Stegostoma tigrinum: one gene and its partner. The protein of the gene in region 1 interacts with the protein of each later gene in a pairwise test. Links are inferred from orthologs where the notes say so. Each region holds a gene or a part of one and is shown in the gene's direction. Other genes may lie near its edges.

Region 1 (7,822 bases):
GTCAACCTCTCTTCATAAGATAAGCCCTCCAGTCCAGGCAGCATCCTGGTAAACCTCGTCTGAACCCTCTCCAAAGCATCCACATCTTTCCGATAATAGGGCGACCAGAGCTGGACGCAGTATTCCAAGTGCGATCTAACCAAAGTTTTATAGAGCTGCAACAAGATCTCTCGACTTTTAAACTCAATCCCCATGTTAATGAAAGCCAAAACACCATATGCTTTCTTAACAACCCTGTCCACTTGGGTGGCCATTTTAAGGGATCTATGTATCTGCACACCAAGATCCCTCTGTTCCTCCACACTGCCAAGAATCCTATCCTTAATCCTGTACTCAGCTTTCAAATTCGACCTTCCAAAATGCATCACCTCGCATTTATCCAGGTTGAACTTTCTAATTCTTGCCTCATTTTGTTCCACTTGGCTTTGTGATGATCCAAACATTACAACTCCTTTTTTTTGTTAGATTGGTTAGTTCAGTCCAGTTTCTGGTCAACTATAATCCCCAGGATATTCACAGTCGAGGATTCAGTGATGGTAATGAATTCCAATTCCGTGATAGTTAGAATCTCTCTTGTTGGAGATGGTCATTACCTGGAACTTGTGTGATGTAAATACTATTTGCCACATCAGCCCAAGCCTAGACATTATCCATATTTAGGACATGGACTGCTTCACTTCCTAAGGAATCACAAATAGTGCTGAACATATAGCAATTCCACTTCTGATCTTTCTGATGGAGAGGTCATTAATGAAGCAACTGAAGATGGTTAGGCCTAGGATACAACCTCGATGAATTCCTGTGGAGATGTTGTGACATTGAGATGACTGACCCCCAACAACCACAACCATCTTCCTTTTGGGCCAGGTGTAACTCCAACCAGTGCAGAGTTTCCCCAATTCCCTTTGATTCTGGTTTTGCTAGGGTCTTTAATGCCACACTTGGGTCAAATGCAGCCTTGAAGCCAAAGACAGTCACTCTCACCTCACCTGTAGAATTCAGCTCTTTTATCTACGTTTGAACCAAAGCAGTAATGAGGTCAGGCGGTGAACGGTCCTGTTGGAACTCAAACTGACTGTCAAATAGCAGGTTATTGCTAAGCAAGTGCTGCTTGAGTGCACTGTTGATGACACCTTCCATCACTTTATTGAGAGTAGACTGATGGAGTGCTAATTGTATTTGTCATGTTTTTCATTCTTACATCATTGACGTTGGATGTATTTGTTAAGTCTTCTCTAGTGAGTTGTTCACCACCATTCAAGCCTGGGTTTAGCAGGACTGCAGATTTGATCTGTTGGTAGTGGAATTGCTTAGCTCTGTCTATCACTTGCTGTTTATACAGTTTGGTGAGAAAGTAGTTTGTAGCTTCTTCAGGTTGATATCTCATTTTTAGGTTTGACTGGCACCAGTCCTAGCATGCTGTCCTGCAATCTCCATTAAAATTTGGAGCATAAAATTATGTGGAGCAATTATGTCAATTATGCAATGTATCCCTGAAAAATACAAGGAAATATAGTAATATCTCTGAATCTCTACAGTGTGGAAGCAGGCTATTTGGCCCATCGAGTCCACACCACCCTCCAAATAGGATCTCACCCACACTTCAGATCCTGCTTTTCCCATGGCTAATTGCCCCAACCAGATATCCCTGGACACTATGGGTAATTTAGCATGGCCACTCCACCTAACCTGCACATCTTTGGACTGCGGGAGGAAACCAAAGCACCTAGAGGAAACCCATGCAGACATGGGAGAATGTGCAAACTCCACACATACAGATGGATTAGATAGTGCAGACTACATCAAAGTATTTCATTTTAATCAATTTGCACTTGAATGGGGGAGAACTCAGAACTAAACTCGGAGACAAAACAAACTTGGGCTATTATTCGTCTGTCAATTTCTACTATCCTATTGTATAAACATTAGCATGCCAAAACTTCTTGCACATTTGATATTACTTTGTCTCCTACTTTAACAAAATTGGCAACTCATCCATTTCTCACAAATGAATGATGGTATTAAATGTCTGACGTAAAATACATATATCCTAATGCTGTACAGATTAGTTTTGGGCTTTAAGATTCAAATTTTCCATTTTCTGTGTTTTTCTTCTTTATTCTTCCCTGGGATGCAAGCATCACTGCCAAGGTCAGCATTTGTTGCCCATTCCTAATTGTATGCCAGGCCATTTCAGAAGGCACTAAAGAGTCTTGCTTTGGTCTGGAGTTTCATGCAGACTAGACTAGTTAAAGATGGCAGATTTGCTTCCCTAAAGGGCTTTAGTGAATCAAACATATTTTTAAAACAATCAATGATAGGTACATTACTGAGACTAGTGGATTTTTTTCAGCATTCCAAATTTTTGTATTGAACTTAAATTCCACCAGTTGCTGCCTCTGGATTACTGATGCAATAATATCACCACCGTGTCACCATCTTGTCCCGTGGGAGATTCTACAGAATTATTCAATGTCAACAAAAAGAACATTTATAGTTTTTTTACAGACCAATTTTGTACAAGTTTCACTGATGAGTTCTTGAAATTAACTGCTTTGGTTAAATGTGACATACTTTCTCCTTACAGGTAAACACAGTTCTATGCTTTCAAAGTTGTTTCTCAATCTACCTTGCAAATTATATGAGATAACAAGGTGTGGAGCTGGATGAACACAGAAGGCAAAGCAGCACCTTAGGAGCACGAAAGCTTTTGCATTTCAAGGCGAGTGGCATAATTAGATTGAAATGGAAATGTGCTGAGGGGACAGGATTGGAAGAAACAGTGACTTTGGCTACAACTGTGGCATTGTTCTAAAACTATTTACTTTGCTCAGGGCAAAGCCACTATTTTTTGCTCTTTAGCTTTCTAAAAGCAGAGTTGTCATGTAGTTCTGTGTGCTGAACAAATCAACAGTAGGGGACAAAAATTGGTGGCTTTGCCCTGAGCAAAGAAGATAGTAAATAGTTTTAAAACAATGCCACAATTGTAGCCAAAGTCATTGTTCCTCCCAATCCTACCCCCTCGCACATTTCCATTTCAATCTAATTATGCAACTGGCCTTGAAATGCAAAAGTTTGCAATAATTTTGTGAGATCATGAACTCCTGCCTACAGCAGAATTCCACCCATCCTGAAGAAGCAGCAATGTTGGGTAGTTGGTAGGAATATCTCTGACAGTGGTGGAAGCTGTGGTGGTTACACCATATTTGTGACAGCCTGGTACACAGACACACAGTAATGTATTCCTCCAGATCAGCAGGGTTTTGCGATTATGTCCTTATTTAGCCACTGCTGTTTAAAGACACTGCAGTCCACACAGAGTGGGGACAAAAATGGGAATAACTGTAACATTGGGATATTTCTAATCTTTGAATTGTCAGCATTTTTGCTTGTCTCAGCTGCTTTGTTTTTAATTCACAAATTTCACTAGAAATATTAATCATGTAGGTTGTAATAAAGTGAAGTGTGACCTCTGGAATTCTGAGCGGGAAACTGAATGAAACATGCTGTCTGCAGACAAATTGCTCAATTAAACCAATTGCTCTGTTTATAAGACTAGCACATGGGTGGAGTGAGAGTCAAGCAAAACACTAAGTTCTGTTTAAAACAGAGAGAGCGCCTTGAATTTTACAGGTCAATTAGTCTAACATCAGTTTGATAAAACTAATAGACACCATGATTGGTGGGCAAAGCAGGATATGGAGCATTCTATTAATGATATTATTGATTGGAGTTGGGTATTTGTTTTGGGGATATTTAAGTTTAATTGGTCATCTGCTATGGCTAGAGCAGCACGGTGGCTCAGTGGTTAACACTGCAGCAGGGACCCAGGTTTGAGTCCAGCCTCAGGCGACTGTCTGTGTGGAGTCTGTACGTTCTCCCAGTGCTCCAGTTTATTCCCATAGGCCAAAGATGTGCAGGCTAGGTGGATTGGCCATTAAATTGCCTGTAGTGTTGAGGGGTGTGTGGGTTATAAGGGGATGGGTCTGGGTGGGATGCTTCAAGGGGCGATGTGGATTTGTTGGGCCGAAGGGCCTGTTTCCATGCTGTAGGGAATCTATATAAAACAGATATTTCTGATGACTTTAATACCGATGTCATTTCTCAAAGGCATTTCCAGAACCTAAATTTTGCATAGCAATGGCTATCTCAATTCTTAAATTCTCAAATCCAAATCAATGTCCCTGAATAAAGATCTTTTACTCATAATTCAATTGTCTGAGTTTATAAGTGTCTCATATTGCCAACCTCTTCATCTCACTCAAAAATTCTGCATTGTTCCTGCAATATAGAGACTAAAAATGAACATGGCAGTCAAAATGCAACCTCACTGACCCAAATACAGATTGAGCATCCCCCAAATTTGATTTCTAAATCCCAACGTTTTGGGTTCCTTTTGACTAGCTACAAACAAACACAATGATTTTACTGAGCATTTTCCTATCCTCCACATTATGCAACAATCTGTGTTAAAAGTACAGACACTTGAGCTGCTGTTTAACATCTGCCAATGACAGCCGTGATCCGAACAACAGCAGCGACAATGAACTTCACTAACGTGCAATCTTGAATTTTTTTTTGTCTCTTTGCTAACCTTGGAGTACTGCAGAATCAACTTTGATCCACTTAACAGCAAGGTCTGACCACCAGTCACTGACAACCCAAACTGCAGGCTGTCCAAAGGCAAATGATGACGTCACTCCCTGACAGCCAGTTGTCTTGGGGGGATGGAGAAAGGATTGGCCGCTGGGATTGTGGGATGTCATGATTGGTCGGCGGCAATGGACCGTCCCAGCCGTGGCTGCGCTGGCTGATGGGAGCAGGAAAATATGGCGGATGTACCGGAGCCGTGAGTATCTCTGCGTGAACTCCGGCCGCTCAGGCCTCTCTCGCATTGACTTCTGCTCGTTCTTCTCTCGGGTGAGCATGTCTGAACCTTCTTTTATTCTCTCTTTTTTTTAGGGAGAAGAAAAGAAGGAAAGTAGAAGAGCACACTGACAAGTTAGTGTTGAATGAATTTAGCGGCCCTGATTTTCTGCTTGCGAGGTCTGAGGCTGGAGGCTTGTTATGAGCTGCAGCTCCGAGCAGTGGGATCAGTGCGGCCTCAACCTGCATCCTTATTCGTCCTAAACTCGGGAATTAACTGCTTGGAGGAATAGGAATATATTTTTTAAAGGAGGAGGAAATCTGTTGGGATTGCAATAAGTGTTAAAACATTAAATAGCCTTATTAAACATTTATTCATTGGCGTGAATTAAATTGACGTGACATGAACTAAATTGACGTGACATGAACTAAATTGACAGCTAAAAACTCCCAGTTGTGTTTTGCATCATTTGTATAGGAGACCTGATTAACGCATAACCAGTTTTAATTGGGGTAAATCTGTATTTCAGTCGTTGTCTAACTCGCTAAAGTTGTGATTAAATGTTATGTTTACATTTTTAGAAGTCGATTCTATGTGTTGCTTCTCAGCACCAAATAATCTCCTCTTCTATAATATGCAGCATTTTTTGAAATTTCTGACCCTTGTAATATTACTGAAATGTAAGAAAGAAATATTATAGGTCCTAACTGAATACCCGTATAAAAATGGTTCAAGGTAACAATCCCATGTCTTTTCAATTCGATTAGAAAGTCCCTAATTTTGATATAGTACTGTATGTATTTTGGCTCCTTTTCAATCCTGCTCCTTTATGTTATACTGGGCGCCCATGACAAATGTTTTGCTTGCATACTCATCTTTGATTGTAGCTTGTAAAGTTACAATCAGTAGTTTGTTTTTCTATTTTCTTTCCCTTGTCTATGCTACAGCACATTAGAACTATCCCTTGTTAGGAGGTTGTGGGGAATTGCAAATTCAGTGAAAATAATTTACACTTTAATTTTAGCTGGTGTCAGTGCTGCTTGTAAAATTTAACAACTATTCCAAGAAAGGATGTTTGCACCAGTTTTAATTGGGGTAAATCTGTATTTCGGTCGTTGTGTAACTCGCTAAAGTTATGATTAAATGTTATGTTTACGTTTTGGTGTTGAGATTGCTGAAAATTCCCCATCTGAGAGATTCTTTGTCTGATTTGAGGCCTTGTAATACTAAAGTAAAATTAGAGTTGTTTGAGGCTCATTCAGTCTCCATCTTTAAAGAAATGTAAATACTACTTTTGAGAATGTCTAAGACAAGTAGTTCTCTTAAATAATATTTCTAATAATTATGCTGTGTTGTGAAAACTAAATCTCTAGTTGAGTTTATTGTGTTCTGTGCAGAATGGCTGTTGATGGTGGGTATGGGGACACTGGAGACTGGGAAGGTCGCTGGAATCACGTGAGGAAGTTCCTTGAGCGTTCAGGACCGCTCTCACACCCTGACTTTGAACCAAGTACTGAAGTGAGAAACGTTGTTATAAATCTAAGTTTGGTACTTGATAGCAGCTGTGAATTTCTTTTTGCTTTTGCTAAATGTTTATGTCACAGTGAGAACAAACAACGTCGGATATCAGTAAGTCACGCAATAGCTGCTTAAATTAGGAAACCTACCACTGATGCAAAACCTCAATATTCTGTTTTGCTGTTTTTGTTTGCTGACACAAAACAACAGCTTTGAGCAAACTCTCGAGTTGCAACATCTATAAACAGTATTTCCTTATCTTTGTGGTGAAATGTAGATAGCTTGTCTGGTTTGTCAAAATCCTGCTAATGGGTTAAGTTTAAAATTCCCCTGTTTGTGGCTACAAATTGAAAGCAATCGATTTAGGTCTAAAATCTTAGTCTGTTACATTTTAGTCAGTTTCTATTTTTAATGTAAACACACGAATTTTCATGCAAAAGTTTGGAAAATGGAATTTGCTGCCATACCACAGTAATTGAAACACTGACTTTAGTGCATTTCAAGGGTCATGAGATGAGCACACAATGGAGAAAGCAATAGAATGATTGAGTAAAATGAAGAATCTAGCTGCAATTACAACTTGTTACCAGATTAACGTTGTGATGTCTTAATTTTGTACATCCCAGTTACTTTGCCTTACTGTGCAAGATCAGCTGCTTTGTAGATTTCCAAATTGCCATAGCTTGTTCCATTTAATTGGAAATATAAATACATTAATGGAAGCATTATGGACAATTAGGGACAGAACGTATGTATTTTTCAAGCAATATCCTCCACACAAATTCCATTTTGTACCGTGTGCCTTTGTTTTATCAGTGATTTGACTTCAGAGCAAATTTTCAAAGGCCTTTTTAAAATCTTAATATACCAGATCTGCTGTTTCTGTCAATAGACTGCAGTCTTTGTAGCTACTTGTAATTGGCAGTTGGGAAATGCTCATAGCTCCTGGTCATGTAGCACAGAAGAGGTCTCTGGCCTATCAAGTCGGCACCGAATCCCACTTTCCAGCATTTGACTTATAGCCTTGAATGTTAGGACCTTTCAATTGCACATTGATGTACTTTTGAAAAGTTGAGATTTTCCGAAGGTTGCAGGAACAGCAACTCATATTCCGCTTGGGAACCCTGCAGCCCAATGGTATCGATGTGGACTTCACCAGCTTCAAAATCTCCCCTTCCCCCACTGCATCCCAAAACCAGCCCAGTTCGTCCCCTCCCCCCGCTGCACCACACAACTAGCCCAGCTCTTCCCCTTCACCCACTGCATCCCAAAACCAGTCCACCCTGTCTCTGCCTCCCTAACCTGTTCTTCCTCTCACCCATCCCTTCCTCCCACCCCAAGCCGCACTTCCATCTCCTACCTACTAACCTCATCCCTCCTCCTTGACCTGTCTGTCTTCCCTGGACTGACCTATCCCCTCCCTACCTCCCCACCTAT
Region 2 (7,744 bases), on another chromosome or scaffold:
ATAACACGTTCACTGTATTCAGTGTGGATTTTGCCAGGGCCACTCAGTCCCAAACCCATTAGAGCTTTAGTTCAAAAGTGGTGAATCCAGAGGCGAGGTGGGAGTGACTGTCCTAGACATTAAGGTAGTAGTTGACTGAGTGTAGCATGAAGGAGCCCAAGTAAAACTAGAGCCAATGGGATATAGGGGAAAAGCTCTCTGTTCATTGGAGTGGTTGCTGGAGGTCTGTCCTTTCAGCTCCAGAACATCTCTACAGGAGTTCCTTGAGGTATTGTCCTACGCCCAACTATCTTCAGCTGCTTCATCTTTCTCTCCATCATGAGGTCAGAAATGGAGCTGTTCACCACTATTTGCAATTCTTCAGATTCTGAAGTAGTTTATGTCCAAATTCGTCAAGGTCTGGAAATATCTAGGCTTGTGTTGACAGGTGGCAAGCAACGTTCAAGCCGTGCAAGTGTCAGGCAATGGCCATCTCCAAAAAAGAGACAATGAGAGCATTGTCACTTGACGTTCTGAATCTCCCGCTCTGAACATCCTGGGAGTTACCGTTGACCAGAGACTGAACTATGCATATAAATACTGTGATTACAAGAGCAAGTCAGAGGCTTGAATCCTGCAGCATGTAATCCACCTCCTGACTTCCCAAAGCCAGTCCACCATCTACAAGGCACAAGTCAGGAGTGTGATGAAATACTTCCCATTTGCCTGGACAAGAGCAGCTCCAATAACACTCAAAAAGCTCGACACCTTCCAGGACAGAGCAGCCCAATTGATTGGCACCAGATCCACAAGCATCCACTCCCTCCGCCACTGACACTCAGTAGCAGCCCTGTGTACTATCTATAAGATGCACTGCAGAAATTCAAAGATTTTTAGACAGTATCTTCCAAACCTATGACCACTTACATCTAGAAGAACAAGGGCAGCAGTTATATAGGAACACCTCCAACTACAAGTTCCCCTCCAAGTCACTCACCATCCTGAAACTATATCACCTTTCCTTCACTGTCACTGGGTCAAAGTCCTGGAACTACCTTCCTTAAGGCATTGTGGTATAACTATACCAAATGGGCAGCAGCATTTCAGGAAGACAGTTCACCGCTACCTTGTCAGGGGCAACAGGAATGGGCAATTAGCACTATCCCAGCCAGTAAAACTTAGCATCCTATGAACGAATAGACTAAAGAATCTCCAAATAACCCATCCAGTCATTGGGATGACCCTGGGCACTTTCCCACTTAGCTTGACTGCAATTAATGCACACTATGGTTACAGCATTGCATATGTTAGTCAGTGGGCAGCAACACGTAGTGGACTGCAGTCAGAACGGGATTAAAAACAATGTGCTGGAGAAAGTGCAGGTCTGACAGCATCTGTAGGAAAAGAGAGAAAGAGAGGGAACAGTTTGAAATACTGGCCTATGACAATACCCCAAGGAACTCCTGTAGAGATGTCCTGGAGCTGAAAGGACAGGCCTCCAGCAACCACTGCAATGAACAGAGAGTCTTTCCCCTATTTCCCATTGACTCTAGTTTTGCTTACTACCTTAATGTCTAGGACAGTCTGGTACATGACTTCTTCACTCAGACCATAGAGTCATACAGCATGGAAACAGACCACTCAGTCTAATTCTTCAGCACCAACTATACACGCTAATCTGAGATAGTCCCATTTGCCAGCATTTGGCCCATATCTCTTTAAACCCATCCTATTCATGTACTCATCCAGATACCTTTTAAATGTTGTAATTGTATCAGCCTCCACCCCATTCTCTGGCAGCTGATTCCATATACTCCCCATCCTATGCATGAAAAAGTTGCCCCTTAGGTCCCTTAAACCTATGCCCTCTGGTTTTGGACTCCCTCACCCTTGGAAAAAGACCTTGAATATTAACCTTATCCATACCCCCAGCGATTTTATAAACCTCTATAAGCTTACCCTCTCAGCGTCGAAAGCTCTAGGTAAAATAGCCCCAGCCTATTCAGCCTCTCCCTTTAGCTCAAACCCTCCAGACCCGGCAACATCCTTGTAAATCTTTTCTGCTCCCTTTTCAGGTTTAACAACATCCTGGTAGTTACTGAGTTCCTCCAGCAGTGCCTGTTCTCAGTGGTTTACATTGTTATGCGGTTACACTAAGCCTATTAAGTAGATATAGGACCCGGTTTAATTTGAAATCTTGATTATCATTCCCAGTACTAACGTTCCCGTGAATTGTCGAGCTCGATCTGCATACATTCTCAATTCACAAGTTAGAGGGGGAATCCAATTGTAGAGTGAGACTGTGTTTTAAGGGGCAATGGAGAAGGGGCGCCTGTTAGCGGTACTCCGACGGACTAGCGTGTCTCCAGAAGTAGCATTATTACTAAATGCAATCAGACTGTTTTAAGCTTCGCTATGACTGGGGCTTTATTTAACTGTTGTGGAGGGGAATAAATCATTGGTGTCTCCCATATTAACAAAAAGGGCAAAAGCAATGCGGAGTATCTGGTGAAAACAGCACATTACAATTTCTGAAGAAGGGTCTGGACCCGAAATGTCAGCCTTGCTGCTCCTCTCATGCTGCTTGGCCTGCTGAGTTCATCCATGTCTACGCCTTGTTATCTCACATTACAACTGTTGTTTATGGAGATGGATGTGAAAGAATAACTCGAACCCGGTGGCAGTGATACTGGATTCTGGGAGAGCTTCTAGTGTCTGATATCTCAATGAACCTAACTTTGCCTGTGTGTGAGAGAGAGAGAGAAAGCAGCCAATGCCATTCGCTTGCCACAGGAGAGCAGGATTGCTCCTCCGGTTATACTGTATAAACGGAGTACATCCTCCTCAAAAAAAAACCCAAGGCGGAGTCTCAGCAGCAATGTGTGTGTTTTGTTTTACACACAGTTGCCACTGGAGAGGAGAGGAGAGGGGAAGGGGTGAAAATGATCAGAAGTTTGCTGACAGTGTGAGCCAGTCTGCCGTCTCGTACTAGGGGCGCCTGTTTCAGGCTGAATTTTCAAGTTCGGGCGCAAGTGGATTTCCAGCCACTTCCTGCTCCCGGTGGCCGGGCGTTTGTACCTTGTGTGGCGAGTGTAACTTCCATTCGGAACTTCTGCTGGCGTATGGCAACTTGCTGAGCGCGGAGGGAGTGGACGCCCCCGCGATAAGAAGAGGGTGAATTAAAACGCAGGTAAGGTGTTGGACCTAAACCAGCAGGGCGTATGAATGGCCAAGCATAGAGTGGGACTGTTGCTATCCTTTGGATTATTCTGCTTGCTGATGATCCAATGCGTGTATCTCAAGCTGTGTCAACGTGCCGGACCCTCAGGGGCTATGGGCTGCTACACTGGACCTGCACAGTGCAATCCCAAACTGGTTTCATCTTTTCTTCGCCAGTATATCCAATTTACAAATCTAACCACATTCCACCCCCACCCCGTCTTTTTAATCATACCTGTCACCATGTGATAAGTGAGGAGGAGCAAATTCATTTAGATTCCCAAATGTGATTCAGAAGGGAGTCTTTTTCTTTAAATTCAAAGATGCACTTTACTCACAAAAAAACCCTTGACAAACGCAGTGCATTAGCACAGAGGAAACAAAAACATTTGGATTATGGCTTCATCCAACAATCAAAGGAAGAGACTCAAGTAAACAGTGTAGTCAGTGGGGATCCATATTCGTCCTGCTCCTCTTCGGTTGAGTTGGGGTTTGGTGGGATGACGGCCAGATTTACCGAACTAAATACACGCGCTTGCGATCAATTCTGACACCAGTCCCTTCCTCCAGAAAGGGTCTCCGTTTGCAGGGTTCAAAAACAACCCATCCCCTCCACCCGCTTCTTCCCCCCCCCCCCAAAAATCCTGCTGTCGATATAGTGCGGAAATATAACCAGCCGAGCGTTTTGAGTCCAGGGTGAGATTTGACTCAGTAGGGTGAACCAAATTGTTACCATCGGGAGTAAGTCAATGATAGGAAAGCCCCTCGTTAATCTGATCCCTGAGGAACTCCCGAGCTTTCCCATTTACAGCGAGTGCCTTCTCCACGTGAGTGGGCTCTCGGTCGTTCCATTGCAAACGGGCAACTGTAGAGCGACGCCCTCTCCCTGGGCAAATAAATCATGGGGATCAAGCTGGGTTCAGCTGGGAACGGTCTTCTCTCAGCCCTGAGGCCAATGAGGGAAACGCTGGCTGCTCTCTCTGGAATACTCCCAGACAGACGGAAGGTATAGTGACAGAGCACAGGAGCATTTATCTGCGTCTGGAACAACCCTGGCTCCCTCAAACAACATCAGGAAAAACACACACAACCTGTTCACTTATGCTGTTTTAACTGCAGCTGCGGTGTCTCATTGGCTGTGTAAACTGTTTTGGTGTATCCTGAGATTGTGACAGGCTCTTTCTAAATCTAACAACCTCCACCTCACCACCGCCCCCCCCCCCACCCGCGCCGCAATGTGTGATATATAGTCCTGCCTTTTCAGAGCTGTTTCTTGAAGTATTCGAATGTGTTACCTGTAGGCAGCGACGGCATGAACTTCACTGAACAGCTTCAATAGTTTCCCCAGGCTATCAGCGAAACAGCTTTCTGCCTCTATTATCTCAGATTCTCCAGCATTGGCAGTTCCTACTGTCTCTGCCTCGAACTGTTGTTTGGGCATGTTCAGGGTCCTCACATTCTTCAGTTTTTCACGGTAAGGTAGAACGAGCCTCTCATTGTGAGGCTCAGGCCTTTTGAACCTCTAAATACCAAAAAAAAGTAGCTTCTTACAGCCAGCAAGGATTGACCTAGCTACGGTTTTTAAAAGTATATATATATATACTTCATACATTTAAAAAATCGTTATGTATATACACTTATTAAACAGTTCAGTTCTGTACATATTGAGAAGAAATAAACATTGGCGTTTGACTATAACTGCAACTTCCCTAAAGACATTTAATTAAGCAAGGTGCTATTTAGGTGTGCTTGAGGCACAGGGAAAATCCAGTAACTGAACGGATTCCCCATTGTACTTTGGCAGAAAGATCTCGGATGGCGGTTTTTGCCCACTGATACCATAGGTTCTGAAAACGTTTAAACTATCAAAGTGGTGACCAGTTGCTCGGGCTTCTCTTCTGCTCAGTTGCTGAACTTTGCAGTGTGTGGACGCTGTGTGGGAAGAGGTCAACGCTGTATGTAATCACACAAAGGTCACTGGTTTTGTTTCTTTTCCTTCTTATGCGCTATAACTTTAACCACTAGCCAGCAAGGGGAAGCAGTCGTATGAGACAAGCAACGAAGCGCTGCTCGGTGCCCTTTTACTTTGTCAACTTGAGCAATCTGATCTGCTTTACAGTAATCTACAGCGGCGGACGGTCAGTTCATGGGGACGGTCTGACTAAATGAATAGGGTATTATATCGCTTTAAATTGCTAAATTCCACCCCCAGCGTTTGTGCGCTGGCTTACTAAAAGGTCACTGCGGAATGTTTCAACTCGTGTTTGCATCATGGCTTTATCCTTTTGAAAATCATAATTGTTATTCGAACATCCATCATTTTCACAATTTGCTTGGGGCGAGGGATTAATGTTTGATGCGGATGTGTAGAATTTAATGCACACCTTTTTGTGAATGAGAGAACGATCCTACTCTCTGGAGATGAAGGGCAGACCCAAAAGATGATTTTCTTGGAAGTGCAGTTTTGCGATAGTTCATTTAAAGGTAAAAGATTCCATTTTATAGAAAGGTTGAGGTGATCTCAGGATTTCCAAAGCTCTTTCCAGTCAATAAAAACTGTAGAAGTTTATATTTTAAGATAACCTACTAGCCAAGGTCTGGCCAATGGAAATGTCAAACACAGTAGAAACAGCACTAGCTTTGTTGGTTTGGAGGAGAGCCAGAAAAAGTTGATTCCATGGGCCCCATGAGTCTGATTGTCTTTCTGAAGATCTGAAAGAGTTGGCATCATGTTGACTTCACCAAAAAGACTTTGTTTGTTTATAACATCATGGAATCTGTTTACAGCCACCCAAGAGAGTAGATGGGACTTTCACTTAATGTTTCACATGAAGAACACCATTCCTTTTGCAGTACAGTGCTCACTCATCACCGCAGTGGGGTGCCAGTATAGAGTGTGTGTCAAAAATTCTGTCGGACTAGGCCAGAATGGTGGCTCAGTGGTTAGCACCATGGACCCTGGTTTGATTCCACCCTCGGGCAACTGTCTGTGCGGAGTTTGCGCATTCTCCGTGTCTGTGTGGGTTTCCTCCGGGTGCTCTGGTTTCCTCCCACAGTCCAAACATTTGCAGGTTAGGTGGATTTCCCATGCTGAGTTGTACATAGTGTCCAGGGATGTGCAGGTTAGGTGGATTAGCCATGGGAAATGCAAGGTTACAGGGATTAGGTGAGTCAGGGGGTGGGATGGGGAATGCTCTTCGAAGGATGGACATGGACTAGATGGGCTGAATTGCCTGCTTCCACACTGTAGGGATTCTATGATTTACTCATCTAATCCAGTTTTAAAGATATGGGTGTCTCCTACCCCTCATCGGACAATATGGTATAATTTTTCCAGCTGCAATTATTTACAAAGGAAAGTAGTCACGCTTTATATTCTGGTGAACAGCCTATGGGGAAGTATTATCTACTTTCCCACTCCCTGGATTCTGCTGAATCTGCTGTATGATTCCACTGCTTAGATTTTAGATTTCCAGCGAGGATAAGTTTATTTCTGAAAGTTCTCCTGTGCATCCAGCTTACTTCTGATATTTTATTTGTGGTTTGAAATTGAACTTGGCCTGATGACTGCAACCTCATTCTTCTGAATAAACTGGAGCTCTGTCTGCAAACTACAGTAAATCGGTGTTTCACAGTAACTATTGTTATCTTATGGTGCATTCATTTTACAAATTTTTTTTAAACAGCCTCCATGTAATAGAAGCAATCCAAATTCAGTACCATCACAATCTTTTGGATGCTATGTGTGCGACAGCAGCAATGAATAGTCTGTCCACAGTCTCATGCTGTGCCAGCTGCAGAATCGTTGTAGCTGGCCTCTTGCCACCAGATTTTTACATTTACACTTTGTGTAGAACCACTGGGAAGTATTCAAAAAATTGGCACTTTTGACTGGCAGTTTTGCCCTGAGAAAATTGCAGTTGAATATAATATTTTCAGAAACATGCAGTTTCTTATTGTGTAAATGTAAAATTGAATTTTTTGAAGTTTCAACTTTTTTTTCCAAACAAAATGATTTGCTTAACAAAGAATAGAATTGCTCAAGTGCACACCGATCAAGAGAGTCTTTGCTTTGCAAACTGTTGTACACAGTAGGGTAAGGTCATAATGTCACATATGATTCCACCTACAACATTGAACTGCATTATTTCATCAAACTACACAGGTAGTTATGGAAAAAAGAGACCGGAAATGATCAATTCATTTATACTTGGTGCAATTTCTACCTACATTAACATCCAAAGCCCCAGAAGAGACAAAGAAGAATGGCTTTAGCAATACTTGCAACTGTTGAACATCTGACAAAAAGTAGGAAAATACACAGCAGGTCAGGCAGAATCCATGGTGAGAATAAAAATTCTCCTTTTCAGATGTGTACCCTTCCTCTGAACTCTGGAACGATCCTTCGGGCAACTTAGACAAAAAAAAACATTTCTGACCTGCAAAGGCTCCGAGAGACCATGACAGCTCACCAATATTTCATGCTGTAGGACACATAGAGGTATCAAAGTATAAGATGTATGGTGGTCCCTATCCAAGGCACATA

What was found.
Region 2: the proteins of uba3 (region 1) and cpne2 interact in binary tests that used the Homo sapiens proteins (3 or more experiments, as listed by UniProt). The two-hybrid records come from large-scale screens. The link is inferred for Stegostoma tigrinum from reciprocal best matches to the Homo sapiens genes UBA3 and CPNE2.

Annotation. Positions count from the first base shown.
Region 1 is NC_081364.1:43,405,376-43,413,197, forward strand, and holds the start of uba3 (NEDD8-activating enzyme E1 catalytic subunit), read left to right. Parts: upstream 1-4,776; 5' UTR 4,777-4,829; coding exon 4,830-4,849; exon of another isoform or gene 4,850-4,920; intron 4,921-4,962; coding exon 4,963-5,001; intron 5,002-6,264; coding exon 6,265-6,385; intron 6,386-7,822. UniProt on the Homo sapiens protein: Catalytic subunit of the dimeric UBA3-NAE1 E1 enzyme. E1 activates NEDD8 by first adenylating its C-terminal glycine residue with ATP, thereafter linking this residue to the side chain of the catalytic cysteine, yielding a NEDD8-UBA3 thioester and free AMP.
Region 2 is NC_081369.1:15,690,397-15,698,140, forward strand, and holds the start of cpne2 (copine-2), read left to right. Parts: upstream 1-4,541; 5' UTR 4,542-4,672; intron 4,673-7,744.